2 linked regions of the Lonchura striata genome follow. The protein of the gene in region 1 purifies or fractionates together with the protein of each later gene. This does not show direct contact. Links are inferred from orthologs where the notes say so. Each region holds a gene or a part of one and is shown on either strand. Other genes may lie near its edges. The genes, in order: protein UXT and RPAP2.

Region 1 (15,191 bases):
ACAGCCTGAACACCTGGGCACAGCTGGGCACGGCCTGAACACCTGAGCACAGCCTGAACACCAGGGCACAGCTGGGCACAGCCTGAACACCCGAGCACAGCTGGGCACACCTGGGCACAGCCTGAATACCTGGGCACACCTGGGCACGGCCTGAACACCTGGGCATGGCTGGGCACCTGGGGTCACTGCACACCTGAGTGCCCCGCACACCTGGGCACAGCTGGGCACAGCCCAAACACAGCTGGGCACAGCCTGAACACCCAGGCAGGGCTGGGAAACTGGGCACAGCCTGAACACCTGGGTACAGCTGGGCACAGCCTGAACATCTGGACACAGCTGGGCACCTGGGCACAGCCTGAACACCCGGGCACGGCTGGGCACCTGGGCACAGCTGGGAACAGCCAGCACACCTGGATTTACCCTGAACACCTGGCACCCACCCTGCACAGCTGGGCACACCTGGGGCACCCCCTCACACCTGGGCACAGCTGGCACCCACCCTGCACACCTGGGCACAGCTGGGCACCCCCTCACACCTGGGCACACCTGGGCACACCTGGAGCTACCCTGCACAGCTGGGCACACCTGGGGCACCCCCTCAAACCTGGGCACACCTGGCACCCACGCTGCACACCTGGGCACACCTGGGGCACCCCCTCACACCTGGGCACAGCTGGGCACACCTGGAGCTACCCTGCACAGCTGGGCACACCTGGGGCACCCCCTCACACCTGGGCACACCTGGGCACACCTGGAGCTACCCTGCACACCTGGGCACACCTGGGGCACCCCCTCACACCCGGGCACAGCTGGGCACAGCTGGGCACAGCTGGGCACACCTGGGCACACCTGGGCACACCTGGGGCACCCCCTCACACCTGGGCACACCTGGGCACACCTGGGCACCCCCCCCGCCCCCGCTGCCCTCCCGGCAGCCGCGGCCTCCGCGGGGGGATCCCGGGGGGATCCCGGGGGGTTCCCGGGGGCTCCCGGCCGCTCCCGGGGCTGGTTCCCGTTACCGGCTCAGCGGCGCGGAGCCTCCCAGAAATCCTCGGCCATGGCGGGGCCGGGCCCGACCCCGCGGGCGGCTCCGGTGGGGCCGGGCCGGGCCGGGCCGGGCGGGAGCGGCGGCGGCGGCGGCGGCGCAAGATGGCGGCGGGGGCGGGGCGGCGGTGACGTCACGCGAGGGGCGGGGCTAAGAGCGCGGTAACCACAGCGCGAGGGGCGGGGCTGCGCGCTGGGGGCGGGGCTAAGAGCGCAATGACGTCAGCGTGAGGGGCGGGGCTGCGCGCTGGGGGCGTGGCTAATGGCGCAGTGACGTCAGCGCAAAGGGCGGGAAAGGAGCGGTGGTGGCGGGGAGGGGTTGAAAAGGGGGCGGGGCTTACGAGGACACGCCCCCTAAGGGGCGGGGCTGTTCGGGACCCTCCCCCCCGCTGACCCTCCCGGATCACTCAGGAATTACTCCGGGGTTACTCCCAGTTCACTCATTACTCCGGGGTTACTCCCAGTTCACTCAGGAATTATTCTGGGGTTACTCCCAGTTCACTCAGGAATTACTCCAGGGTTACTCCCAGTTCACTCAGGAATTACTCCGGGGTTACTCCCATTTCACTCAGGAATTACTCTGGGGTTACTCCCAGTTCACTCAGGAATTACTCCAGGGTTACTCCCAGTTCACTCAGGAATTACTCCGGGGTTACTCCCAGTTCACTCAGGAATTACTTCGTGGTTACTCCCAGTTCACTCAGGAATTACTCAGGGGTTACTCCCAGTTCACTCAGGAATTACTCTGGGGTTACTCCCAGTTCACGCATTAATTACTCCGGGGTTACTCCCAGTTCACGCATTAATTACTCCGGGGTTACTCCCAGCTCCCTCCTGTGCACCGCACAACCCCCACTGCAGCTGTACACACAGGTGTAAAAACCCTGCTTTACTCCAGCTCCCCGGTGTAAAAACCCTGATTTACTCCAGCTTTACACGCACGTCACTCCCAGGTGTAAAACCCTGATTTATTCCAGCTCCCAGGTGTAAAAACCCTGCTTTACTCCAGCTTTACACACACGTCACTCCCAGGTGTAAAACCCTGATTTATTCCACCTTTACGCACAGGTTACTCCACGGTGTAAAAACTCCATTCGATTTGTGTTTTGCACACAATTCACTCCCAGGTGTACAAACTCCATTTTACTCCAGTTTTACACCCGGGTCACTCCCAGGTGTACTAACTCCATTTTACTCCTGTTTCACACACACATCACTCCACGGTGTAAAAAACTCCATTTTATTCCGGTTTTACACATGTGTCACTCCCAGGTGTAAAAAGTCCGTTTTACTCCTGTTCTACACACAAGTCACTCCCTAGTGCAAAAATTCCATTTTACTCCCGTTTTACACACCCAGGTCACTCCCGGTGTACAAACTCCGTTTTACTCCCGTTTTACACCCAGGTCACTCCACGGTGTAAATAACTCAATTTTACTCCCGTTTTACACCCAGGTCACTCCACGGTGTAAATAACTCAATTTTACTCCCGTTTTACACCCAGGTCACTCCACGGTGTAAATAACTCAATTTTACTCCCTTTTTACACACACAGGTCACTCCACGGTGTAAATAACTCAATTTTACTCCCGTTTTACACCCAAGTTACTCCACGGTGTAAATAACTCCGTTTTACTCCGGTTTTACACCCCGGTCCCTCCCGGCGTCGCGCTCAGGGCTCCGAGGTCCCGGGGGGCTCCTGCAGCCCCTGCAGCTCCCGCAGGCCCTGGGGGAGGGGCAGAGCTGGGGGCGGGGCCTGGAGAGGGGGCGGGGACTGGAGAGGGGGAGGGGCTTGGAGAGGGGCGGGGCCTGGAGAGGGGGAGGGGCAGAGCTGGGGCGGGGCCTGGAGAGGGGGCGGGGCCTGGAGAGGGGGCGGGGCTTGGAGAGGGGCGGGGCCTTGAGAGGGGAGGGGCATGGAGAGGGGGCGGGGCCTGGAGAAGGTGAGGGGCTTGGAGAGGGGCGGGGACTGGAGAGGGGGCGGGGCCTGGAGAGGGGGCGGGGCCTGGAGAAGGTGAGGGGGCTGGAGAGGGGCGGGGCCTGGAGAGGGGGCGGGGCTTGGATAGGGGCGGGGCCTTGAGAGGGGAGGGGCATGGAGAGGGGGCGGGGCATGGAGAAAGGGGAGTGGCCCACAGAAGAGGGCGTGGCCATGCAGGGAGGGGGTGTGGCCAATCACGGGGCGTGGCCCACAGGAGGAGGTGTGGCCTGCAGGAGGGGGCGGAGCCATGCAGGGAGAGGGCGTGGCCCACAGGAGAGGACGTGGCCTTCAGGGAGGGGGCGTGGCCTGCAGGAGGGGGTGTGGCCTACAGGGAGAGGGTGTGGCCTGCAGGAGGGGGCGTGGCCTACAGGGAGAGGGTGTGGCCATAGAGTGGGCGTGGCCCACGAGGAGGAGGCGTGGCCCACAGGAGGGGGAGTGGCCCACAGTTGAGGGCATGGCCATGCAGGGAGGGGCGTGGCCTAGATGAGAAGGCGTGGCCCACCGTGGGGGGCGTGGCCATACAGGAAGGGGCGTGGTTTGCAGGAGGGGCGGGGCCATTCAGGGAGGGGGTGTGGCCTATAAGAGGGGGCGTGGCCCACAGGGAAGAGGCGTGGCCATGAAGTAGGGGGTGTGGCTTGCAGGAGGGGGCGTGGCTTGCAGAAGGGGGCATGGCTTGCAGGAGGGGGCGTGGTTTTGCAGAAGGGGGCGTGGCCACGCAAGGAAGGGCGTGGCCATGCCGGAGGGGGCGTGGTTTGCAGGAGGGGGCGCGGCTTGCAGGAGGGGGCGTGGCCATGCAGGGGGCGGGGTTACCTCCAGCACCAGGCGGATGTGGGCGCGGATCTTGGCCCCGTCGCGCGTCAGGGATTCGCTGAGCCTGCGGGGGGCGGGGCTTAGGTGGGAGGGGCTTGGGAAGGGTGGGGTCCCCCGAGTGGGTGTGGCCTGATGATTGACATGGCAAAACCACGCCCTTTTTGTCATCAGGATGGGGGCGTGCCTTCCTGTTGTGGGGTGGGCGTGGCCTGGGTGGCGTGGGCGTGGCCTGCGGGAGGCCACGCCGTTTTGGCCATGGGGCGGGGCGGTGATTACCTTTTATGGTGTGGGCGTGGCCTAAGGGGGCGTGGTTTGCCCATCTGGGGCCACCTGTGAGCACAGGTGAGCGTAAGAGGGCGTGGCCTGGGTGGGCGTGGCCTAAGTGGGCGTGGGCATCTCCTCCCACCCCAAAATCCATGGGAATGGGGGCGTGGCCTAAGTGGGTGTGATCCAAAATGGGCGTGGGCCCCTTCCAACCCAAATACAACGGGATTGGGGCGTGGCACTGGGTGGGCGTGGCCTCAATGGGTGTGGCCTCGATGGGCGTGGCCTAAAAAGGGGCGTGACCAAGGCGGAGTGACCAAGGCCCAACACCCAGCACCACGGGGTGTGGCCGGGGGCGTGGCCGGGGGCGTGTCCAGGGTATGGGGGCATGGCCGGGGGCGTGACCAGGGTCTGGGGGCGTGTCCAGGGTCTGGGGGCGTGGCAGGGGGCGTGTCCAGGGTCTGGGGGCGTGGCCGGGGGCGTGACCAGGGTCTGTGGGTGTGGCAGGGGGCGTGTCCAGGGTCTGGGGGCGTGGCCGGGGGCGTGTCCAGGGTCTGGGGGCGTGGCCGGGGGCGTGTCCAGGGTCTGGGGGCGTGTCCAGGGTCTGGGGGCGTGGCCGGGGGCGTGGCCGGGCCGCCTCACCTCTGCAGGAGCGAGCTGCGGCGCTCCAGGTGCCGCAGGGCCTCGGGCAGCGTCAGCTCCACGAAGAAGCCGAAGCCCAGAGCCACGAAAACGCGCCGGGGGTCCGGGCTGGGGGGAAAAGGGGTCAGGGGGGCACCCCGAGGGGTTTTGGGGGGGTCCCAGGGGTGGTGGAGGCTCAAAGGAAGCCAATTTTGGCGATTTAGGGGCTCCCTGGGGAGGGTTTGGGATCTCAAGGGGAACTCCGGGGGGAATTGGGAGTTTTCTTTAAAGGGGATCGGGGTCCCAAAGGTGCCCAGGTTGGGCCTGGGGAGTTCTGGGGGGACTCAGGGGAGTTTTGGGGTTCCTGCAGTGGATTTTGGGGGTCAGAGATGGTTTTCGGGGGTTCTGAGGAGGTTTTTGGGGGTCTGAAAAGGTTTTTGGGGGTCTGAGGAGACTTTTGGAGAGTCTGAGGACGTTTTTGGGGGGTCTGAGGGGGTTTTTGGGGGGTCTGAGAAGGTTTAGGGAGTCTGAGGAGGTTTTTGGAGCTCTGAAAAGGTTTTTGGGGGGGCTGAGGAGGTTTTTCAGTGTCTGAGGAAGTTTTTGGAGGGTCTGAGAAGGTTTTTGGGGGGGTCTGAGAAGGTTTTTGGGGTTCTGAGGAGGTTTTTCGGGGTCTGAGCAGGTTTTTGGAGGGTCTGAGGAGTTATTTTGGGGTTCTCAGGAGGTTTTTGGGAGTCTGAGGAGACTTTTGGGGTGTCTGAGGAGACTTTTGGGGTGTCTGAGGAAGTTTTTGGGGGGTCTGAGGAGGGTTTTGGGGGGTCTTAGAAGGTTTTTGGGGGTCTGAGGAGGTTTTCGGGGGTTCTGAGGAGGTTTTTGGGGGTCTGAGGAGGTTTTTGAGGGTCTGAGGAGGTTTTCGGGGTGCCAGCCCCACTCACACTTCAGCACTGACGAAGAAATTGCAGCCGAGATCCACCTGGGTGTGCAGGGGGGCGTCGACGTCCTGGGGACCCCAAAACCCCCCGGGACCCCCGGGGTCACACAGAGAGCCCCAAACACACCTGGAGAACCCCAAACACCCCCAGGGACCCCAAATCCCAACCCCCAAACACCACTGGGGACCCCAAATCTACCCAGAGACCCCCAGTCCCTCCCTCACAAGACCCTCAATAACCCCTAAATCCCCCCGATATTCCTCAATTCCCCCACAGGACCCCCAATAACCCCTAAATCCCCCCGATATTCCCCAATTCCCTCACAGGACCCTCAATAACCCCTAAATCCCCCCGATATTCCCCAATTCCCTCACAGGACCCTCAATAACCCCTAAATCCCCCCGATATTCCCCAATTCCCTCACAGGACCCTCAATAACCCCTAAATCCCCCCGATATTCCCCAATTCCCCCACAGGACCCTCAATAACCCCTAAATCCCCCCGATATTCCCCAATTCCCTCACAGGACCCCCAATAACCCCTAAATCCCCCCGATATTCCCCAATTCCCCCACAGTACCCCCCATAACCCCTAAATCCCCCCGATATTCCCCAATTCCCCCACAGTACCCCCCATAACCCCTAAATCCCCCCGATATTCCCCAATTCCCCCCCAATTCCTCCCAAAACTCCCCACGAGGCTCCCAGAAATCCCCCGCACCCTCCCGGAAACACCCCGATACCCCCCTAAAACCCCCTCCAAGCCCCCCAAATTCCCATCCAGGCCCCTCCCCAGGCCACGCCCCCCGCACCTGCAGGCGGGCGAGGGCGGCGCGCAGCTGCAGCACCTGCGCCTGCTGCTCGAAGACGGCGTCGCGCTGCTCCTGCACCCGCCTGCGGGGGGCGCTGCTCAGGGGGCGTGGCCTCGCCCGGGGGGCGTGGCCGCGCCGCGAGGTTAATGGTGGGTGTGGGAGTGGGCGTGGTTTTTGTGAATGGGCGTGGTCATCATGTGGAGGGTGTGGTCGTGAATGGGCGTGACTTCGTGGTGAATGGGTGGAGTTGATGGGGGTGTGGCCAAAAATGGGCGTGGCCTCAAAGTGAAAGGGAAAAATTTATGCAAAGCCGTGGCCATAAAATGGGCGTGGCCTCAAAGCGAAAGGCAAAATTTATGCAAAGCCATGGCCATAAAATGGGCGTGGCCTCAAAGCGAAAGGCAAAATTTATGCAAAGGCGTGGCCATAAAATGGGCGTGGCCTAAAGCTGAATGGAAATTATTTATGCAAGGGCGTGATCGTAAAATGGGCGTGGCATCATTGTGAGTGGGTGGGGCTGATAAAGGTGTAGCCAAAAATGGGCGTGGCCTCAAAGCGAAAGGCAAAATTTATGCCAAGGCGTGGCCATAAAATGGGCGTGGCCTCAAGTTGAATGGAAATTATTCATGCAAGGGTGTGGCCATAAAATGGGCGTGGCATCATTGTGAATGGGTGGTGCTGATGAGGGCGTGGCCATAAAATGGGCGTGGCGTCGTGGTGAATAGAAGGCATTTAGGTAGGGGCGTGGTCACAAAATGGGCGTGGCCTCAAAGCAAAAGGCAAAATTTATGCCAAGGCGTGGTTATGAAATGGGCGTGGCCTAAAGCTGAATGGAAATTATTTATGCAAGGGTGTGGCCATAAAATGGGCGTGGCCTAGAGGTGAATAGGTGGGGTTTATGCGGGGTGTGGATGTGAAATAGGCGTGGCCTCAAAAAAGGCGAGGATTTATGCAAGGGCGTGGCCATAAAATGGGCGTGGCCTCAAGCTGAATGGAAATTATTTATGCAAAGGCGTGGTCATAAAATGGGTGTGGCCTCAAGCTGAATGGAAATTATTTATGCAAGGGCGTGGCCATAAAATGGGCGTGGCCTCAAGCTGAGTGGAAATTGTTTATGCAAGGGCGTGGCCATAAAGTGGGCGTGGCCTCAAGCTGAATTGAAATTATTTATGCAAGGGCGTGGCCATAAAATGGGCGTGGCCTCAAGCTGAATGGAAAATATTTATGCAAGGGCGTGGCCATAAAATGGGCGTGGCCTCAAGCTGAATGGAAATTATTTATAGATGGGCGTGATCATCAAATGGGCGTGGCATCATTGTGAATGGGTGGGGTTGACTTGGGGGCGTGGCTTCAGAATGGGCGTGGCCTCGAGGCGAAACGAAATCCCGCCCTGACCCTTAGATGGGCGTGGCCAGGGCGCGCGTGGGCGTGGCCAGGGCGCGCGTGGGCGTGGCCATGGCGCGCGTGGGCGTGGCCAGGGCGCGCGGGAATTCCGCACTGCGGCGTTAACGGGGAGGGGGCGTGGCCACGGCGCCGACCCCGCGGGGGGCGTGGCCGCGGAATGGGCGTGGCCGCGGCGCGCGGGTTTGATGAATGAGCGGGGCCGGGGCGGGGGGGGCGCGGCCGCAGCCCCGCGGCGATGTCGCGGCGATGTCGCGGCGATGTCGCGGTGATGTCGCGACACGCCGCCTCCCACCTGAGGTCCCGCTGCAGGACGTCGCTGACGAACGCCTCGTAGCGCTGCGCCTTCCCCGCCGCCGCCGCCGCCATGCCGCCTCTGACGGCGGCGCCGGAACTGCGTCAGCGCCGCGCGCCGCCGGGCGCCCCCTGGCGGCCGGGAGGACCCGGGCTCCTCCCCCCCCCCAACCCCGCCCCTATGTCGCGACATGGCCGCCGCGCAATCGGCGGGAGAGCAGCCGGAGCGCCGCGACCTGTGCCCCGAGCCTGCCCCGGGTGTGCCCCATGTGTGCCCAAGTGTCCCCAGGTGTGCCCAAGTGTGCCCGGGTGTGGCCCATGTGTGCCCCAGGTGTGCCCAAGTGTGCCCAGGTGTGCCCAAGTGTGCCCAGGTGTGCCCAAGTGTGCCCAGGTGTGCCCGGGTGTGCCCCAGGTGTGCCCCGAGCCTGCCCCAGGTGTGCCCAGGTGTCCCCAGGTGTGCCCCAGGTGTGGCCCAGGTGTGCCCGTGTGGCCCAGGTGTGCCCCATGTGTGCTCAAGTGTGGCCCAGGTGTGCCCCAGGTGTGCCCAGCTGTCCTCAAGGGCACCCAGGTGAGCCCGGGTACCCCCAGGTGTGTCCAGGTGTGCCCCAGCTGTGCTCAGGTGTCCCGAAGTGTGCCCAGCTGTGTCCTCAGGCACCCACAGCTATGCCCCAGGTGTGCCCCACGTGTGCCCGGGTGTCCCCAGGTGTCCCCAAGTGTCCCCAGGTGTGCCCAGGTGTGCCCCAGGTGTGCCCAGCACTCCCCAGGTGTCCCCGAGTGTCCCCAGATGTGCCCGGGTACCTCCAGGTGCGCCCAGGTGTGCCCTGGCACTCTCCAGGTGTGTCCCAGCTGTGCCCTCAGGCACCCCCAGGTGTGCCCAGGGTCGCCCTCAGGTGTGCCCGGGTGTCCCCAGGTGTGCCCAGGTGTCCCCAGGTGTGCCCAGCACTCCCCGGGTGTCCCTGAGCGTCCCCAGATGTGCCCGGGTATCTCCAGGTGTGCCCAGGTGTGCCCCAGCACTCTCCAGCTGTGCCCTCAGGCACCCCCAGGTGTGCCCAGGGTTGCCCTCAGGTGTGTCTGAGGTATGCCCAGGTGTCCCCAAGTGTTCCCCAGCTGTGCCCCAGGTGTGCCCAGCACTCTCCAGATGTGCCCCAGGTGTGCCCAGCTATGTCTGAGGTGTCCCCAGGTGTGCCCAAGTGTGCCCAGCTGTGCCCCAGTGTGCCCAAGTGTGCCCAGGTGTGCCCAGGTGTGCCCAGCTGTGCCCCAGTGTGCCCAGGTGTGCCCAGGTGTGCCCCAGGTGCCTCCCCCACCCCATCTCCCCAAATTTTGGGGTCCCCCGGTCCCCCCCCACCGGAGCCACCCAGCGCCAGCAGCTCGGGGATTTATTGGCCCCGCCCACGCGGGCGGAAAGGGGCGGGGCTAAGCGGGGCGTGGCCGAGGGGGCGTGGCCAAGCGGGGGGCGGGGCTTACACACTCACGAGCACGCGCGGAGAGACACCCCCCCCTCAATTTGGGGGGGCGGGGGCTGGGGATTGGCAAACACAGAGCGGGGGGGGAGGGGATCCCCGGGGGATTTTGGGGGGTCCTGGGGGGGATTTGAGGGGTCCCGGGGGGGATTTTGGGATCCTGGGTGGATTTGGGGGGGTCCCGGGGGGATTTTGGGGGGTCCTGGGTGGATTTGGGGGGGTCCCCGGGCGGATTTTGGGGATCCTGGGTGGATTTGGGGGGTCCCGGGGGGGATTTTGGTATCCTGGGGGAATTTTGCGGGGTCCCTGGGGGATTTTGGGGGGTCCTGAGGGGATTTGAGGGGTCCCGGGGGGGATTTTGGGGATCCTGGGTGGATTTGGGGGGTCCCCGGGGGGATTTTGGGGATCCTGGGTGGATTTGGGGGGGGTCCCCGGGGGGATTTTGGGGATCCTGGGTGGATTTGGGGGGTCCCGGGGGGATTTTGGGGGGTCCTGGGTGGATTTGGGGGGGGCCCCGGGCGGATTTTGAGATCCTGGGTGGATTTGGGGGGTCCCGGGGGGATTTTGGGGGGTGCTGGGGGGATTTGGGGGGGGTGCTGAAGTCCTGGCACGCCCGGGAGGATTTTGAAGATCCCTGGGGGGATTTTGGGGGATCCTGGGCAGATTCTGAGGGATCCTGGGGGGAATTTGGGGATCCCTGGGGGGATTTTGGGGGGTCCTGAACACCAGGGGGTCCCCCCAGGTATTTTTGGGGTCCCCCGGGTGGGATTTTTGGGTTCCCAAGGTATTTTTGGGGTCCCCCCGGGTATTTCTGCAGTCCCCCCCAGGTATTATTGGGGTCCCCCCGGTATTTTTTGGGTCCCCCCGGTATTTTTGGGCTCCCCCCGGCTATTCCTGGGTTCCCCCCGGTATTTTGGGGTCCCCCCGGTATTTTGGGGTCCCCCCGAATATTTTGGGGTCCCCCGGGTATTTTGGGGTCCCCCCGGTATTTTTGGGGTTCCCCCGGGTATTTTGGGCTCCCCCGGGTATTTCTGGTTCCCCCCGGGTATTTTGGGGTCCCCCCGGTATTTTTGGGGTCCCCCCCGGTATTTTGGGTTACCCCCAGATATTTTTGGGGTCCCCCCGGGTATTTTGGGGTCCCCCCGGTATTTTTGGGTTCCCCCCTGTATTTTTGGGGTCCCCCCCGGTATTTTGGGTTCCCCCCGGGTATTTTGGGGTCCCCCCGGTATTTTTGGGGTCCCCCCCGGTATTTTGGGTTCCCCCCAGGTATTTTTGGGTTCCCCCCGGTATTTTTGGGGTCCCCCGGGGTATTTTGGGGTCCCCCCGGTATTTTTGGGGTCCCCCCGGGTAATTTTGGGGTCCCCCCGGGTATTTTGGGGTCCCCCCGGGTATTTTTGGGGTCCCCCCGGTATTTTTGGGGTTCCCCCGGTATTTTGGGTTAGCCCCGGGTATTGCTGGTTCCCCCCGGGTATCTTTTGGGTTCCCCCCGGTATTTTTGGGGTCCCCCCCGGTATTTTGGGGTCCCCCCGGTATTTTGGGGTCCCGGTGTCGGGGTCACTCGAAGAGGCTGGCGAAGCTCTGCCGCAGCGCCCGCAGGCTCTCGGGGGGGCCCTGCTCGGGGGCGGGGCTGCGGAATTTGGGGGTTCAGGGGGGGAGGGGGCGTGGCCTCGCCCCTCGCCCCTCCCCCCCAGCCCCACCCACTTACCTGGGGGGAGGGGCCCCGCCCGGTTTGGGGGCCAGCGCCGGTTTGGGGGCGAGGGGCGGGGCCTGGGGGCGGGGCTGGCGGGTGGTGGGCGGGGCCTGGGGGCCGGGGGGGCGGGGCGAGGCGGGGGTGGGCGGGGCTTGGGGACCGGGGGGGCGGGGCTGGGGAACAGAGGGGGAGCGCTGGAGGCGGGGCTGGGGCGAGGTGGGCGGGGCTTGGGGGCGTGGCTGAGAGGAGGTGGGCGTGGCTTGAGGGCGGGGCTGCGAAGTGGGCGGGGCTTGTGGGCGGGGCTGAGGTGATGGCGGTCCTTGTGGGCGTGGCTGAGGGGAGGTGGGCGGGGCTTGTGGGCGTGGCTGAGGGGAGGTGGGCGGGGCTTGTGGGCGTGGCTGCGAAGTGGGCGGGGCTTGTGGGCGGGGCTGAGGGGACGCGGCTGGGCCGGGTGGGCGTGGCTGTGCGGTGGGCGGGGCTTGAGGGCGGGGCTGAGACGTGGGCGAGGTCGGTGGGCGGGGCTGCGGGCTGGGTGGGCGGGGCTGAGCTGCCGAGGCAGCCAGGGGTGGGCGTGGCTGAGAGGTGGGCGTGGCTTGTGGGCGTGGCTGCGCAGTGGGCGGTGCTTGTGGGCGTGGCTGCGCGGTGGGCGTGGCTTGTGGGCGTGGCTGCGCGGTGGGCGTGGCTTGTGGGCGTGGCTGCGCGGTGGGCGTGGCTTGCGGGTGTGGCTGTGGCGAGCCGGGCGGGGTTTGTGGGCGGGGCTGAGCCGGGCTGGGCGGGGTTTGTGGGCGGGGCTGGGCGGGGCGGGCCGAAGCTCCTCCCATTTGTGGGCGGGGCTGCCCCTGCGGCTGGGGGCGGGGCTGGGCGGGGCCGGACGGGGGCGGCGCACCTGGAAGGGAGAGAAACACCTGAGGGGGCGGGGCCTGAGGCAGGCACAGCCCCAATTTGGGGCAAAACCCCCCAAATTTGGGGCGGGGCAGCCCTGGAAGGGCATCCCCGGGGAGGGAGGAGCTCCCCAAAATTTGCGCGTCTGGGAGTTTTTAGGAATGATTTTGACTTTTAGGATTTGGGGCAAACCTGAGGAGGATTTTTGGGGAACCCCCGATTTTCCCCCTTTTTAGTGGAAATTGTCACATTTTGAGCAAAAACAAATCCTGAACAATTCCAGGACGCAAATCCCCGAATTCTGGAGGCTCCCCCGGGTTTTTGACAGCTCCGAGGATTTTTTGGGGCGGGGGAGGGGAAGGAGGCCCCGCCCATTTTTTTGGGGTGGGGGGGCGGGGTCACTCACCCTGGGGCTGGGGTCTCTGCTGGGGGGGGGTCCCCGGCCGGGGGGTCCCCGATGTCGCCGACACCTGCAGGAAGGAGGGCGGGGCTCAATTTTGGGGAGGGGTCCGGGGGCGCACCTGGAGGGGGAGGTGGGGGAGGGGCGGGTACCTGTGGGCGTGGCCGGGCGGGGGAGGGGCTGCGGGGGCGGGGCAGCTCCTCCCGCATCCGCTCCAGCACCAGCTCCACGATCTGCGCCTGGTCCTCGGCCGCGCCCGGGCCCAGCAGCGGCAGCCACGAGCCCAGCACCTGCGGGGGGCACGGCCGGGCGGGGCTCAGGTGCGCCACAGGTGCCCCAGGTGTGCCCCAGGTGTGCCCCAGGTGTGCCCCAGGTGCCCAAAGTGTGCCCCAGGTGAGCCCCAGATGTGCTAAGATGTCGCTGGGTGTCCCAGGTGCCCAAAGTGTGCCCCAGGTGTGCCCCAGGTGCCCAAAGTGTGCCCCAGGTGAGCCCCAGGTGTGCCACAGGTGCCCAAAGTGTGCCCCAGGTGTGCCCCAGGTGCCCAAAGTGTGCCCCAGGTGAGCCCCAGGTGTGCCACAGGTGCCCAAAGTGTGCCCCAGGTGAGCTCCAGGTGCCCAAAGTGTGCCCCAGGTGAGCCACAGGTGTGCCCCAGGTGTGCCCCAGGTGTGCCCCAGGTGTGCCCCAGGTGCCCAAAGTGTGCCCCAGGTGAGCCACAGGTGTGCCCCAGGTGAGCCACAGGTGTGCCCCAAGTGAGCCCCAGGTGCCCAAAGAGTGCCCCAGATGTGCCTCAGATGTGCCCCAGGTGCCCAAACTGTGCCCCAGGTGAGCCCCAGGTGTGCCACAGGTGCCCAAAGTGTGCCCCGGGTGAGCCCCGGTGCCCAAAGTGTGCCCCAGGTGAGCCCCAGGTGCCCAAAGTGTGCCCCAGGTGAGCCCCAGATGTGCTAAGATGTCGCTGGGTGTCCCAGGTGCCCAAAGTGTGCTCCAGGTGTGCCCCAGGTGAGCCCCAGGTGCCTGAAGTGTGCCCCAGGTGAGCCCCAGGTGCCCAAAGTGTGCCCCAGGTGTTCCCCAGGTGCCCAAAGTGTGCCCCAGGTGAGCCCCAGGTGTGTCCCAGGTGCCCAAAGTGTGCCCCAGGTGTCCCCAGGTGAGCCCAGCTGCCCACAGGTGTGCCCCCGGTGAGCCCAGGTATGCCCCAGCTACACCTGGGCGCCCTCACCTGTCCCCAGGTGTGCCCAGGTGTTCTCCAGGTGCCCCCCAGCTGTGCCCAGGTGTGCCCAGAACACCCCAGGGGTGTCCCGGCTATACCCGGGTGTACCCAGGGGTGCTCCAGGTGTACCCAGGGGTACTCCAGGTGTACCCAGCTCTGCCCCCAGCTGTGCCCAGGTGTGCCAGCTGTGCCCAGCTGTGCCCAGCTGTGCTCACCTGCACGATGTGCTCCTGCCCGTCGGGCTCCCGCAGCGCCTCCACCCCGCAGATGTCGACGCCCCCGAAGAGGCCGGCGCAGGCGTCCACCCACGCCCGGTGCCTGCGAAGGGAAGGGGCTGAGGCCACGCCCACCGCCAGGGCCACGCCCACCGCCAGGGCCACGCCCACCAACCTGGACACGCCCACCACCCTGGACACGCCCACCACCCTGTACACGCCCACCGCCGTGGACACGCCCACCACCATGGCCACGCCCACCGACATGGCCACGCCCCGACATGGCCACGCCCACCACCCTGGACACACCCACCACCCTGGCCACGCCCATCGCCGTGGCCACGCCCATTCAACGGCCACGCCCATCTCCATAGCCACCCCCTCGCCGTGGCCACGCCCACCGCCCTGGCCACGCCCCTTTTCACCGGCTCCACCCTGTGCAAAAGCCACGCCCCTTTCCAGATGGCCACGCCCACTAAAGCCCTGCCCCAACCACAAGGGGATCTCAGGGGCACGCCCCTTTTTGATGACCACGCCCCTTTTAGTGGCCAATCACCGTTTGTGGCCACGCCCCCTTTGATGGCCACGCCTTTTTGGTGGTCACGCCCCCTTTTGATGGCCACGCCCCTTTTAGTGGCCAATCAACGTTTGTGGCCACGCCCCTTTTGATGAGCACGCCCCTTTTAGTGGCCAATCAACGTTTGTGGCCACGCCCCTTTGATGGCCACGCCCTTTTCGGTGGTCACGCCCCCTTTTGATGGCCACGCCCCTTTTAGTGGCCAATCAACGTTTGTGGTCACGCCCCTTTGGTGGCCACGCCCCTTTTAGTGGCCAATCAACGTTTGCGGTCAGGCCCCTTTGGTGGCCACGCCCCTTTCCATGTAGCCCCGCCCCCCCGAGCCCCTCCTGGCCCCGCCCCCTCGCACTCACCTGGGGCTGAGCGCCACCGGCTCCACCTGCGGCCCCTCCCCCGCCGCGGCCCCGCCCCCCAGGGACCACCTGGGGGGAGCCGGGGTCAGCAGGGACCCCCAACCCCCCCGGGACCCCCATGGCCCCGCCCCCCGCGCTGAGACCCCGCCCCAAAACGCGCCAGGCCCCTCCCCCAAACCCCGCCCAGGCCACGCCCACAGGTCCAAGCCCCGCCCCCAGAATGAACGCCACCAGTGCTCCCAGTGCCCCCGAATCCCTTCC
Region 2 (15,642 bases), on another chromosome or scaffold:
TCTACTTCAGTTCTGAGGCATCATGACAGTCCTATTCCTCTTACCCAATACCAAATGTTAAAAATCTCACATATCCTATGATTGAAAGAAAACCTTTTAAACAAGCACTAAATGCAAGTCAGTGTACTAACACCTTTCAGTATGTAAAAGATCCTGCAGGAAAGCCACTCATATTAATAAACTAAATTTGGAAACTGAAGGTGATAACAGAGTGATTTATATTACTAGCTCCATATAATTCTTCTGTGGAGTTTTAAGTGGAGGTTGCAGTTTTTTCTATCAAAGGAATTTCAAATATTCTAGTATGTCAGTGTGTATGGGTGTGTGCACATGTATGTGGTTGTGCGAAGAGGTGTAGCTAGCCAAGAACTATCTGGGAGTTTGTTTGTTTGTTTTTTGAAAATACCGCCTCCCCACCAGCACCCAGAATAAATAATTAACTATGTCAGACATAAAAGAACTATACACTTTTTATGTGAAGAATAAAGGGAGATTTTAGAAACAGTTTTCTTAAAGACAGCAAAACAATACCTCAAAAGCATCGGAAAACTTAAATGACAAGTCTAGTTTTACCTACTAGAATACCTCAGATCTGATGGGGCTGCTCTAAAGCTCTTCTGTCATTGATGATCTATTTCATTTGACACATATAACTCCAGCTAGTTTCTTTTGTTGAAACCCAGGAAACTATGAGAAACAGTGTCTTGGAGAATGACAGCTGAGTAAATTTGCTGAACATTCTCTATGCCAGTCTTTGTTGTTCAACAGTGACACCCATTGGCTCCATTGACTATTTGCAAGCCCATGTTTTCTGAGATGGGAACATGGACTGCATACTGTTCCAATATGCGTATTGCAGGAAGAACAAGAAATGGCCAATCAGAAATTTAGACTGGATATAAAACCTCTTCATGTTATAGATTGCTTTCAGATGCAAGCATTCATTGTCTACGCTTAAGATCAATGCTAAGTGCTATGCTAAAATTAGAAATCTCTTGTAACAGTGTAAGATTATTCCAACCCATTTGTAAAAATTCAATCCTAGTCAGTCCATTTTAAAGTTAAAGGACTTAATTATTATTTCTGACTAGTCTGCCCTCTAAACTAACATGGTCATGTCTGCTAAGTAGATGAGAGTAGTACTGAACCAGGCCAATTACTGTAATCCATACAGCTTCAACACTTTTAGAACAGACACCATGCTAAGCTAATATGTCAACATCAGCTACCTCTGCTTCAGCAAAATCATTTTGATGTGCTGCAGCTCTTAATTACCACTGTAGACACATAGAGAAATAGTATTCTCAAAAGGTGTATTGAATGTATAGGATTATACTTACTTTTCTTCTTCTCTCATCCACACTGGACTTTTGGAAATTTGAGCTTCAAAATATTTAGATGCTCTATAGCAAAAATTGCTGCAAAAGCACTGGCAATGAGAGAAAGCAAGAACAACTAAGACGAATACACAGAAAGGTACAAAAGTAATTTATTTTAATGTCTGTAAAATTAAGTACCAATTAATGTTTCTTTTCAAGCCTGTGGCCAGGTTTTTAGTTCACCTGAGAAACCCAACCTATCAAATAGGTCTATCCCCTTCTGCACAAGCCACATTCAGCTGCTTCTTTCCTTTCCATTTTTCTGCTTCCTGAACTTTTATTACACACTGAGAAGCAAACCAGTGTTGGATTCTATGCAATAATAATAATTTAAAAAAAACCCCAACAAATCAAACTGTTCAAAGAGGAAGCCATAACCCAATATGCTGTTCATACACTTTGAAAGACATACAATAAAATTCAGATGTTTAATAATGAAAATTTTGGTTAGCAACAGAACTCGCTATTTTGTAATACTTAGAACAACACCTAAAAATCTGCAGCATCTTTGAAAAATTGATTTGCAAACTTGCATTACAAGGGAAGAACACAAAGTATCCCACATCTTGTTGGAGTCTTGCCTGATTTCTCATGAAAGCAATTACTAAAATTTTGTGTATCCCAAAGTTTTAATCAGAGGAAAGGAATGCATGCTAATGACACTGAAGAAATTTGTTCTGTAACTGGAAACGTTTATGTTACAATTTAGTGTCTACGTGCCTATAGGTGATTGTGTATCCTGTGAAATGGCAAAGATGACTTATGCAACCACCTGTGAACATGCTTCCAGAAAGAAACATTTTTTGAAGAGTTAAGTTTTATGTTGAAAAGTCCTCAAAAGAGAAACCTAAATGTTCCCCAGAAAAGAACACTAAGGGATATGTAACATGTAACTTGTACTACATTACTGCAGACTTCAGTGATTGAAAAGGATGTGCACTTTGACCGTACTAAAGCTCACTAACTATGCTGGAGCAAAATAAAGAACACTTCACAAATGCCTTTAACAGAGCACCTGTGTGACTTTCAAATGGCTATCCAAGTAAAATTTTCCATCTTGTGTTTAAACTTTGAAAACACATGTATTTTGTCTCACCAAAGATATCATCTAGGAAGTGAAATGCACAAAAAATTTCAACAGTTTGTGAAAATCTTTTTCATAAGAACCAAACATATTTGTCTCTGAATCAAGCCATTATATGAATGCTGTTACACAATGCATTTCTGATGTTGCCAGCATTAAACACATTCTAGAAATACACTTGTTACCATACCTTTCTTTCAGTGATATCATAAACTCTGTTCGTTTTTGTTGAAATTCTGTACTTCTGCTTTGGCACCTAAAATAATATAGTTTAATCAGCAAGACTGTCAGTTCCATCATGACTACAGAGAAAACTTCATTCTTAGTTCACGTATTTGGGTATGTACAAAATATTATATTTAACTGAAATGCATACTACAACCACCTCAGTTCTTCTTATGTTGCACCTTCTCAGATGTAAGAATGGCAGTTTATCTTTAATCATACACACCTCATTAATCAGTAAAAGGTAGTTCCACAGCTATAAGAAAACCAATGCTGAACATAAAACAATGTTATGGCAGAAGCTTTCCTCATGAGTAAGTGCTGAGCAATTACAGACAAGGCCTTCCTTAATCCAGATCTATTTATATGCATACGAAACTGAACTGTCAGACCTGAACCACTACCCAGCCATACCCAGATGAACCTATGCAAACTGTTAACAGTTTTGAAATTAATATCTGTGCAAAGAGATAAAGTCCAAAACAGTAAATTGTTTTGTACATGAGTAGAATGTTTTCAGATGTTTTAATGTGTAGCACTGGTGTTACATCACAGGTTATCTAACTGACCTCTGAGTTCTGCTTAAACTCTCATGCATCATACCTAAAGAGGGGTGACTTTCATATTGACACAGCTGATATACATTTTCATAGGAGATATATATGCATTCACATAATAATATCCCTGCATTGTATTGTTTTTTCACTTTAATCCTTCTCATAGACATCTGTTGCTACACTGACAGAAGAACAAGATTTCAAAGTTTTTCCATTCACAAAGGAAGGCCATGAAGCCATCACTCGTTCATCTTTATCCCTGTCAGAACAGACAGATGGATTGTGATTCTGATCATACAGTAACTGATTCTGGCATACAAGAACTGCTGTCTACTGATGAAATTTCACCTTTCACTTCAGAAGGATTATACTGAAATATATAATGCCTGGCTCCTTACTTGACAGTAATCTGTGCTTAATATTCTAAGTTTAAAATTAAAAAAAAAAAATGCAAGACAATAAAAATTGTGAAAACATTCCTTTGATAACACCATTAAGGAAAAGCAACTTACATTTTCCAGTCTCTTCTGACATAGAGGATAACCACATAGTTTGATGATAGATCGCTCATCAACAACATCTTTATAGTGAGATGGAGTAATACTTTTTCCCTAAAATGACAAGAAAATAGTTCAACAACAGATACTGGAAAACTTGCCAGTTTTTGTACTCAAAACATCTCTTAAGCATGTAAATACCTTAAATTTTATAACAGCTATCTATTAAGTTTAATAAACAATACTGAGAACCTACACAGTAGAAAAGGTAAAAGGGTAAATAGGGAAGGAAAACAGACCCAGGCATTTCTTTTTTGCATATACAAAACCTTCACATTTTTGCCTCTATTTATGTGCTGTGTACACCTATTAATCAGCCTATTTACAACCTTAACAAGAATAATCATTATACCATTCCAGCAGAACTCTGCTGCCAGATAACTGTGGTGCTTTATAGAGACTTTGTGTAAATTTACAGACGGTATGATGTAAACCTAAATTTTTACAGTTCATCTGTCAGTCCAGAACCACAGAAGTATCAACATGGGCTCTAATAAGAGTGAGGATTCATTAATGTACACAGTCCTGCAAAACTAGGGCATGTTTTCACTGCAGAACCCTTAAAAATATGGAGACTGTTATCAGAGCTGGTAGAAGAAGGAATCAATGGTTTGGCTATTTTAAACTGTAGCAAGTTATTCCAAAATCTGTTAAAAAAGTACCACACTAAGATACAAAACAGTAGAAAAACTTGCAACACCTACACAATTTAGAAGGAACTCTTCAGTAATGTCCTGTTCCAGGAGCTGCTCAACAATAGACAATGCTTTTTTCTCACATTCAATCTTCTTTCTCAGTGCAGCCTCCAGAGCTGCTTTCCTGTAACAGAACAGAAACTGAATGATACAGAGGGCAGATTTCCATAAACAGTTCTCCAATTATATTTTTATCTTTTTTTCTGAAATACAGCTTACATTTTTTTGTATCACACCATGTTGGCCAAACAAAGCAACAAGTAACTGGACTAGTAATTCTGTTGCTACAAAAACAAATACCTCCTCCTGAGTGGTTTTTAAATGAAAATAATTATAAATGGCAGAAGTTATGTAAAGAAGTTAGGACAGCCAAAAGCAAGAACTACAGGCTAAGGAAATACAATTTTGGACATTAGATTACGAACTTTTATTATATTATGCCATGCTCAGATGTGCATGCTGTTAGAAGTTACACAGCACCTCTCCAAACATGTCCTACATGATGCTGATGCTGGTGATTTACTGAAGTTAATCGTGGTACTCTGAGAAAGCAAAGCCTCTGCAGCACAGAGACTGCAATTTCAAAGTGAGCCAAAACAACACAAATATCTCATATTATTCCTCAGAAATTATACCTTTGAGCAGCATCTTCATTTTTCTGAGCAGCTGAATGCTTATTTCCTAAGAATCAAATATACAGATATCAAAATTAGTGTACTTGCTTAACAGCAGATGTTGGAACCTGAAAAATATGAAAACCTCTAAACTGTAAGCACAATTAAGATAATTTCTTATTATTGCTTTTGCTGGCTGTGATTTCAGTAAGCTGGTATTCAGCAACCAGACACACTTTAAAAAGTGTGAAAACAGGCCCAACGCTTCTTATACTCTCATTCACCACGTTCTGTATGCACAAAAAAGAGAAAACATTCTGACAATGGCGTTGTGCCAGCCACACCCCCCGTCTCTCCAGGCGGTAAAGCCCAGTTTTACCGCGGCGCCCCACTGCCGTCCCCACGGCTGCCGCGGGGCAGGGCTGAGCCAGGGGCCAGGTCCAAGGCCTGACACAGAGCCGCTCCCTCCCGGGACGGCGCCCGGCCCGGCTCCCCACACGGGCGTCCGCGCAGCCGCTCCCCTCCGACACGGGCAAAGGCAGGGGCGCACCGGGCTGTCACCCTGGCAAGGACGCAGCGCCGCGGGCAGGGCTCGGCGCTCTGACGGCACGACCGCCGCCACAGCCCGTCCCCGATGCTCAGAGCCGCCGCCCCGGCCCCTCACAGCCCGAGGGCACGGCGGGTCCTGCCTCGCCCCGTCCGGCGCACCGCTCATCGCGGCCCCGCACCCGGCCCGGCAGAGCCCGGCAGAGCCCCGCAGAGCCGACCACGGCCGGCCCGCGCTCCCCTCCGCTTGGCTTGGGCGACACCGCCGCCGTGCCGGCCTGCGGGCACAGGGAGAGCCCAAAGCGCAGCCGGGGGGAGCGGGGGCTGGCGCGCGGACCCCGGCGCCCACCTGCGCGCCGCCGGCGGGACTTGCCCGCCGCGGCCGCCATCATCGCCGTCAGCGCCGCTCCGCCCGCCGACCTCTCACCCGGGGCGGGGCCGGGAGAGGCGGCAGCGCCGGGCTGAGGGCTTCCTCTGGCAGGGGCTGAGCTGAGCTGAGCACAGGCGGTGCCGTGCCCTTGTGGCTTGTAATTCAGCCGTGTGTTACAGGCTTTAGCTGGCAGCCTTTTCGTCCCATCCTGGCTGTTGTACCGCCCAGAGAAGGGGCTGGGGTATCTGTTTATTAGAAGAGAGTTTGGTGAGTATTAATAGAACGTTTCACATGATTCAGACGCTGCTCACTTGCCGCTGAAACCTCCTAAAAGATTCACTTGGAAGCCGGATTAAGTATTAAGGCCGGAGACCATCTGCGAGCTCAGCCAGCAAATCCATGCAACACGGTGGGTGCCTGGGACGCGTTTCAAGGCTGTAAGTACATTGTCAAGTTACTGAGGGCTGCTGTTCGAAAGTATGTTAAATTGTTTTGGCGGGATTAGTAATAGTCTGTAAAATGAAGAGTTTAAATAGTACAAGATGTGGTAAGAAAGTATGTGGTAATGATCTGGTTGAAATGACAGGCTAGAAAGGATAGGTTTCAGTGACATACAGGTGTCAGAATGGGCCCTGAAGAATAGGAAGTGAGTTGTTTATTCTTTGAATAAAGAAGGTCATACACAGATGCCTTTTAAGCTTTTGTGAGTTGTCGCCTCTTGTGAGCGTCTAGATAGGTTCATTATCTGTGTGTTGTCTCATTTAGGTGTGCTGGCAATTGGCCAGCGTCAACCCACCACTTTAGGTAAAACTAAGAAGAAAGGCTCAGGACATTGCATGGAGATGCCTGTTTTGATGAATAGTTGCCTAATTAACCAGGTGTAGGGGTAATTGACAATCATAGTGATAATATAACCAGGTTTAGGTCCATGGCATTACTTAAAACCATAAAGATTATGACTGCTGCTATGATATATCACATGGGATAACCAGGCTTGATTGCATTTTTAATTCATGAGCCTGGCTACATAAAACTTGGTACATACTTGACATTACTCAAGTGTATAACTTTGTTGTTTTTAGCAAGAAAGTTTTAAATTTTAATACCTAGAGGTAAAAAGCCACTGCACTAGTCCCACCTAGACACTAGAAAGAAATAAGTGAAACTGCATATGTAATCTTCACTGGACTGTTGATATAAACAGGCATGGTGTTTGAATCAGTGCCTTCACACACCAGATATCGGGTTAGTGTGTTCCAGTCAGGGCTGAGCAGAAGCTCCTCTGGTCAGAATAGGCACAGAAAATGTAGTGTGTCATGGGTGTGCCTCCTTGGCATGCAGTGAGCCCAGACTTGCTCTGTGTTAGCTGCAGTTTTCCATGTCTGTGCCTGCAGTAGTCACTGAAACCTTCACACTTCTTAAGATGACCCAGATAGTACTTGAAAAATTATTTCCCTGTACATAGAATGCATGTTGTTTCCTGTCTGTAATACTGTTTCCTGCTAATATGGGGAGTAGAATAATATAGCATACACTTAGTAAAAATGAATTTTCCCTTATTTGCTAATTATGTAGTCTTTATATTTGTCTAGATTGTTCTTGTTCCCCCATTAACTTTTTTTTTTTTGATAATGTGATTATTTTTCAGCCTCTGTTTTAAATCCGTGTAATATAATACTGCCCTCTTTAATTTATAATAAATTTTCATGCTGGAAGAACACAGTCAAACTAAAATGGCAGTTGATGAACTTCAAGACATAATACAAAGATGTGTAAGTAGTTTTCCTTCCTTAGAAGTAACAAGTGTCAGTAGTGCGAGTTTCTTTTCATATATTAGAATTAAAACCAAAATTACCTCAAAAAACAAGTCCACTGTTAGTAGAACTCTTCATGGAACAGCTAAGTTGAGCCTCCATGTTTCATTGCCTTCTCTGTGGTGCTTATCCCAAGATGCTTGATTATTTCTGCTTCTTGGAGAAGGAGGTGTGTACCTAGGAACAAAAGCTGGTAGTTGTAGAAAACACATCTTCCAAACAGCAAGCTGTAATGTAGACTTAGTGCTATTGAAATACTGCCCTGTCTTCTGTAGTAACTTGGTAGCTTTTTTAGTAAGTTAAAAATGTATAGAAGTTACAATGATATTACATCTAATTTTGAAATGAAAGCATGGATTTTCTTATTTCTTAATTGACTTTGCTAAGTATGAGGTTAAACATTCATATTTTCTTTCTAGCAAATTCTGGAAGAAGCTGATTTCAAAGGAGAAGATTTCAATCTGTTTCAGGTAGCAGGTCAGAAATGTTTGGAAGATGGATATGCAGCTCAGTTATTAGAAGTAATTCAAAATGAGAAAAACAAGGTGAGTTTAAGTTTGCACTGCATAGTAGTGTTTATTAACATTAAATATAAAACTGCTAATTAAGAGGGGAAAGCTACTTTCTCTGTGGAGCAAGGCTGTACATAAGAGTAGCTAATAAGTTGCCCTGTGTTAAGTGCCCATTATTCTGTATTCAGGTATCTTACAGAAACCCAAGTCACAGTAATCTTAACAAAACCATTAATAACTCTTCTGTGAGTGAAGCAAAGAGAAAAGGAAGTAGAAAAGCATAATTAGGAGAAAGTGGCATGTCCCACTTCCACAGGACGGGGATTTCAGATGGTGTACTAGGTCTGGCTGGCATGGAGTTGGCTTTCATCATGGCACACTGCATAGTGCTGTGTTTTAGATTTGTGACCAAAAAGGTGCTGATAATACATCAGTGTTTCAACTACTGCTGATCAATACTTGTGCAGCATCAAGGCCTTCTCCCTTTCTAACTCTGCTCCCAGTAAGCAGGGAATTTGGGAGGAGACACAGCTGGGACAGCTGACCCAAAGCAGTGAGATACTCCACAGCATACAACATTGTGCTCAGCAGTAAAGACATGGTTGGGGACCCATTCCGAAGTAGCTGTTGTTTGGAGGCTGGCTGGGCATTGGTCTCATTGTGGGAGTTGATCTGCATCATTCTCCATCATGCTCTGCTGTCTTTTGTCTTTCACTTATTACTTTATTACTTTATTATCTTCAGAGTTCCTCTGTTTTGTCCTTTTGATTCTCACCACTATTCCCACTGAGGGACAAGAGCAAGCAAGCAGCTTAGGGGTGCTTAGTTGCTCTTGGGGGACAGCCTACCACAAATGGATATAATAATATTGGCCGACTGTAGGAGCCAACTAGGCTGATGCTAATCTGAAATACTGATGTCTGTGGGCATTAGGGATGCTGGGACAATATACCAAACTGAGAGAGATAAATAGGAAATTCAGAAAGAAAGGCAGGGGCAGAATATTTTAGCAATGTTGCATGGAGTTCAGAATCTGTTACATGGGTTTCACAATCTGGTTTTGAATTTTGTGAGTTTGGAGTAACAACTGAAAATCTAAATCCCTTAATGAATAATTTTTTCAAGTGTTCTTTCAGCAGAACTCCTCTGCTCAGTCCCATTTTAAATGTATTGTCATGCATGTTTAAAAGTATATATTGGTATGTTAATAATTAGAAGAAAACTATACAAAACATGCATCTGTGTTTATAGGTATGGGGACAGAAAAGAGTGTGTGTCAAATTATGGTAACAGTTGCTAAATATTCAGTGATAGCAACTGTAATGGTTACTGTCCAGGACACTGATCTGTTGTTGTCTTTGGTCTTTATATACACAATCTTTCTGGGTTTAGAAGACATCCAGCTTTGGTTTATTCTTCAATATCTGGTTTTTAGGTTATCATCAAGAATATGGGTTGGAATCTCATTTCTCCTCTTGTTAGATGTATTTTTATATACAAACAAGAAGATGATAAGCGAGAACACTGCCTGAGGATACTAGATCAGTTGGCACAGGTATGGTACATGATTATGATACAATAATGTTAGGGAAGTTCTGCACAAAAAGGGATGCTAGATCATTAATCCATGAAGATAGTACACCAAAGGCCAGTTACACGTTTATACAATTTGATTCTGACAATATTTGCATAATATCTACATCACTACTTGGGTAAGCTGCTCTTAGTTTAACATTCCCTCACCTCAATTGAAAGGTACAGAGAATTCTATGCATGGTGTGTGTTCAGTGGGTAGGGCTCTTTGTTTGGAATTGGTAGGCTCAGCCTCAGAGGTATGTTTTTCACATGAAAATGAGCTAAATTAATCTGAAGGACACAATTTAATCTGAGTTAGCTAGCTTGAGTAAAACTTACAGTATGTTGCTAAATGTGTTTTCTAGTATCTAATTCAAGGTCTCTCTGTTCATGTTCTCTCTTTAGTTGTTTCAAAACTGTTCTGCAAGACCTTGCCATTTTCCACTTATCTCTGTCTGAATAGTATTTATTGTTCTCTTTTCGGTGATTCACTTGGAAAAGTCTTATTCACCCTTCCTCAAATGAGAATCATTACCTGATGATTCTGATGGAGTAGAAGCAGAAAAATATTTTAACCTGTAAAAACTTATTCTCTTTCATTTATGCACTTCAAAACCAACTTGCAAACTTTATAGCTTGAGTTAAATTCCGACTCAAATTCTACTTCTCTCTTTGCTCCTGAAGATCAATTTGCAAAGGTACTCTGAGGTTTTTACAGCCTATTAAAATCAGGTTTAGTGTCAGTTTTTATGATTATATGTTTTCAGCTCATATGAAAGTGTACATACAGGTATGCTCTACAGTAGATGTTAATTGTAGGCATGTACTTATGGTTTCATATTTGTTTTCTTAAATCTAATCTTGGATGTTCAGATCTTCTCTCTTGACATTCAGGAACTTCTGTATTGCATGTGATTTATTTTTTTTTATTACGACCATGATTATTTAAAAATACGAATTGTTCCTCTCTTGCAGCTTTGCAATCCAAAGGAACTTTTTTTGGGTTTACTTGAGCAGATTGAGCAGACCTCTGGAGAGCAAGTGTGTCAAACTGTCATGTTATTGCTTCAGCCTTTGCAGACAGGTGGGATTAAGTTTATTTTGTGATTTCTGAATTAAATTATTTTCTCATTTATTTATCATTTTATTTTAGCCTTTGCTGGAATGGTTTCAGAATCAATCCATCATGACAAAGCTTTACTGTCCATTATATTCTGCAACATAACACAAGGCATAAATTTCATGCTTATATTGGCCTGTTAAAAAAACATTTCTGATAGAACTAATAGCAGTAGTTGAAAAAGCAGTGTTCAGCTATTTTTTTAATCATTTACAAGAATGTGGTCCTATGACAGTTTTATTTAGAGGTGTAAAGCACTCCTACTGTTGTTGCAGAAATAGGAAATCACATGGATTTGTTAAATTCTTCATGATTTGATTTTTAAAATATGCAATTCTATGTTTTTGTAGTATAAAATTGTAATTTTGATTGAAGCATGTTGAAATACTTTATTGGTGAGGGGGTGAGTGTTATTCTGGCCTACATATGAAAATTTAAAATGTTGTGTGTGGCCACTCTCTAAGTGGGTAACAAGCAGTAGTTTCTGTTTTGTTATATGAGAGGAAATTAAGTATTGTGTATCAAATTGAAGTCTGATTGTAACAATCTCCAGGATATGTTATTGTATTAGATTAGAATTTAACAAGAGAAATGCGTGGTTTTTTGGGTAGCCAATCTGCAATTAGTCTTCACTGGGTTCAGTTAAAGTGGAGAGCCTCTTGTTCTCCTTCCTCAGCCTGGGAGAGTGTCTGTTATTTTTGCCATGGAGTAAAAACCAGAGTCAGTTCTCAGCAGAAAAGCTGGGCTATTGTCTCTGGTTTTGGTAAGCACAGGAGTCAAGTAACAAATGCATTTTCCTGGTCAGATATGTATCATTTTACTTAGCCCAGTTCTAGAAAACAGATTTTTTTTCAGTCCTAATCCTGGTGCTGTGGAGAAAGGAAGAACATTAAAATGCAGGACAGATTTAATATTTGTTATTTGCAAATACCTGGCCATGTTAACTACAGTGTATTAAACCAGGTGATTGTGTTTAATCTTGCTGGATTTGCTCATGTGATTTCAGGTATCAGTCGCTCTTCTTCCCTGAAAACAAAATGTTTCCTTACCTAGTCATATTATTTTTCTTCATGTTTTCCTCTACTAAGTAAGTGATAACTTAATGCCTCAAAATGTTCTCTCTTCTTTTCCTCTTTTTTGTTTTCTTTCCCCAGTGCTTTTGAAACTTCAGAACAAGAAGGCCTACTCAGTGGGTTTGTCATTGGCCATGATTATGAATCAGCTCTCTCCCTTACCTGTACCTTACACAAAACAACAAATAGAAGAAGATAAACTTGGTCTCTGTCAATGTTGTAATGCAGTGGTGGACTTTGCTAAACCTTTTGTGAATGAAGTTGTTAAAAATATAGAAAAGTCATCAGAATACAATGATGTGGAGCTGAAAGAAGAATTAATAAAATTGTGAGCGTTTTATGTCTGTGCTATATATTCCTCTAACTTAACAAAATGAATAGTAGGCATTTATTATATAGGCAGCAAATAAATAATCTTTTAGAGTTTTATAATGCTGCCAACATATATCTAACTAATGTGGTATTTTGACAAAGAACCCCTAAATAGATCTTATATATTTATGCATTCTGTTTAGTAGAGGGAAATGGTAAAGAACTATTAGCTGCTGCATTGTGAAGCTGAGTTGGTATTCCTCTGTTCCTCAAATTTCCAACAGTGAGTATAATCATAGTCTGGAGGTGAAGTCTAAGTAATGCTTCTAGAGGAGATGTTGGGGTTTTATTTTTTTTATTCTCCTTGGAATACCTTGAATAGCAGCAGCTGATATGAATATAGGCATTATTCTTGGTCATCAGTGACGCTATCACAGTCTGTATTTATGACTGTATTGGTGATTTATTCCACCCCTTTCTTTTTCAGCTGTATGAGAAGCCTGAAATACCCACTATTGACAGCTCAGCTTGAACAACTTGAGGGCATTGAAGAACATCCTTTTCGGCATTTTGCAACTGAAATTATAGTGAGTGCAGTGGAAATGAATTAAATGTGTGCAGAACCAGTGGTCTAGTTCACAACTACCTCTAACTTGTTCTAGTGCTCATTTTGATTTCTGTATTGGTTAGTGAGGTGACTTAATGGGCTGTGTAAGTTATATCCTGTTGGGCACAGTCTGAAACCATGTTTTTATTTATAGCTTTAAGTAGTAAGAGCTGAAGCTAAGGTCAGCAAGTCATGCTTAGACTGTATTACATCTTGCATAATGCTAATTTTCTAAAATGTGCCTTCCTGGATGTTGGGTTTGGACAACTCCAGAATAGTGAGCTGACCTTGATCTCCCCATTTCTCTGTAACATGTACAAGAGGAGTCACACTATGTCCTAAGCCACGTGAAGGGCGTGAGGGGGTAACCACTGTAGTATTTCTGATGTACAAATGTCAGGTGTTCCCTGTGTTGTGCATCATGGGAAAGAAAGGCCATACAAAGCAAATCTATCTTGAAATCAGGGCTTGCCTTTTGCAGCTAAAAATTGTGTTCCACATTGATTAGTAAGGAAAAAAACAAAATACTGAGTATTCTGTGATCTGAAAAACACTGAGATTTTGTAACATAATGTTTTCATGAATCTGCTGTTACTCACTGAGGATAAGGAAACTGAACTAGGAGTTTGCAGATGGTCTTCATCCTCTTTTGCTAACTTTTGTGTCTTTGACTTTGCTATCTTAGTAATGTTTTTCTAACACTAGTTATTTTTCCTCCAGATTTTTGTGTGTGTTTGTGCATATATCATAAATCCCACATATGTATATTAATTTATATATTACAAACGTAACATTTACATTAATTTATATGCATGCTGTACAAGAGAATGTATGTAAATACAGTTAGAGCTTTAAAACTGAGTTGGCATACAGTTATTTTAGAGGCAACTATAGGAAATCTGTTTTTATTTTTTAGGACATTTTGTGGAATATAGGAGAATTGATACCATTAGTGTTTGTACATCATAAAGGCAAAAGTCCACACTGGGAGAATCAGGAGTTTGCAGACATAGAGCAAAAGAATTCTGCTGATTCTTTGGCGAGTTTGTCATATCTGGTGTTTGTTCAGCATTTTGGTGTTGAATGCTTTCCAGTGGTTTTTAGGTAAGAATCATTCTTTCTTGCTTATTGTAAGTCTGTACTTTGAAGATTCTTTCTGAGTGGAAGAGAACTTTATTTGTGAATAGTTATGAATGAAAACTGCATTTCAGTAGTAGTAATTTTATGTCAATATTTATGCATTTATATTTTATGTAACTTATGTTATATAAAGAACATACTCCTGCAGATTAATCTAGTGTAGTTTAATTTTAGATAAGCTGTCCTTTAAAAGAAACTGTGATTAGTCACATGCTGTATTAATTGTTCATTTACATATCTATAGACAGTTTCCCTATAAGAGTTCTTGACAGTGATTTGACTTAAATTTTTTTGTCTATTTAAAAAACAATAATTTTAGAATGAGATTTTAGTTTTTTAAAAGAATATGAATCCTGTCAAATATATGAATTATGTGCAAATGTATATGGCTTATGCAGTTTAATGTAGCTGGATTCTTCTCTTCTAGTCCTTCATACCTTCTGCTGTGCAATATGACACATATTGAAATGCTGCTGAAAAGGTAGGGTTTGTAGAATTTGCGGGTCTAGATAGTGTGATCTTTTACAGTAATGCATAAAAACAAATTTGAAATATAGATTCAGAGGAGGTTTATAAGTTGGAACATTAAAATACAAGTTTCGCTGTAAGATGGCGTCTCGTATTAAGAAGCAGAAGTTGTCTAAACACTTATGTATTGTTTTCATCTTGTATTTTTAGAAACTTTATTATGAACATGTAAAATTGGTAAACACATGCAGAATAATTACAGTGTATACTTACTTGCCCTTCTATAACAATTATTACCAAAGGCAACTATTGTGAAAATATTTATTTGAATGCATTCTGACATGATATGCAAAATTATTAAAGGTCAGGCTTTCTAAAGGAAACCAAACTTGACTATATATTGTTATTATTTTACCTTCCATAAGCAGCAGTGTTACCAAATAGCCCCTAGCACTGCTGTGGAAGGCAAGTTTCCTATTCTGACTGCTTACCATTTCATTTTCTTTGGTAATCAACGTCTCAGTACCTGTGGGAGATGACACTGCTTTTGAGCATGTATAAATACTGAGGGGAAAATAATTTTTGACTGTGAAGAGATGAGCCTAATGTTCAATTTCTCATCAGCAAGTTTATTCTAAAAATCTTTGGGAAGAGTAATAAAGATTCTATATTTTAAAAATGGAATGAAAATTGTTGAGGGACAAGTTCTTGTTGACGTCTGTTCTACTATTTCTTCGGAAATATCAACTATCTTTTTAATTCACAATTTAAATCTGATTTTTTTTCTAGAACAGAAGAATCTGTATTATCTAAAGGACTAGTAAGTTGTTTTTTTAAATTAAATTTTCAATGTTAGGATGTTTTATTTTTTCAGTGTAACGAATAGTAACATTTTTGTTTCTCCTTCTTAGAGAGGTATAACTGATAGTTCCAGATGATAGTTCCAGAAATAATTTGAGGCTTAATTAAGTATGCTTCAGTCTTACAAATACCT

What was found.
Region 2: the proteins of protein UXT (region 1) and RPAP2 purify together in Homo sapiens (affinity purification with mass spectrometry; 4 studies listed by BioGRID and IntAct, counting the BioPlex papers as one, with this or other methods). This does not show direct contact. The link is inferred for Lonchura striata from reciprocal best matches to the Homo sapiens genes UXT and RPAP2.

The regions. Positions count from the first base shown.
Region 1 is NC_134638.1:952,089-967,279, reverse strand, and holds protein UXT, read right to left. Parts: upstream 8,238-15,191; 5' UTR 8,225-8,237; coding exon 8,151-8,224; intron 6,537-8,150; coding exon 6,455-6,536; intron 5,712-6,454; coding exon 5,647-5,711; intron 4,844-5,646; coding exon 4,736-4,843; intron 3,894-4,735; coding exon 3,830-3,893; intron 2,771-3,829; coding exon 2,717-2,770; 3' UTR 2,269-2,716; downstream 1-2,268. Other genes in the region: uncharacterized protein LOC110481730, read right to left, coding at 11,164-11,236, 11,377-12,185, 12,588-12,671, 12,734-12,871, 14,001-14,103, 14,931-14,999. UniProt on the Homo sapiens protein: Involved in gene transcription regulation. Acts in concert with the corepressor URI1 to regulate androgen receptor AR-mediated transcription. Together with URI1, associates with chromatin to the NKX3-1 promoter region.
Region 2 is NC_134611.1:20,520,148-20,535,789, reverse strand, and holds the start of RPAP2 (putative RNA polymerase II subunit B1 CTD phosphatase RPAP2), read right to left. Parts: upstream 6,073-15,642; 5' UTR 6,050-6,072; coding exon 6,007-6,049; intron 5,179-6,006; coding exon 5,133-5,178; intron 4,622-5,132; coding exon 4,507-4,621; intron 3,857-4,506; coding exon 3,758-3,856; intron 2,720-3,757; coding exon 2,654-2,719; intron 1,430-2,653; coding exon 1,341-1,429; intron 1-1,340. Other genes in the region: GLMN (glomulin), read left to right, coding at 7,734-7,799, 8,261-8,386, 9,789-9,908, 10,904-11,012, 12,203-12,449, 12,921-13,020, 13,957-14,144, 14,608-14,661 and 1 more.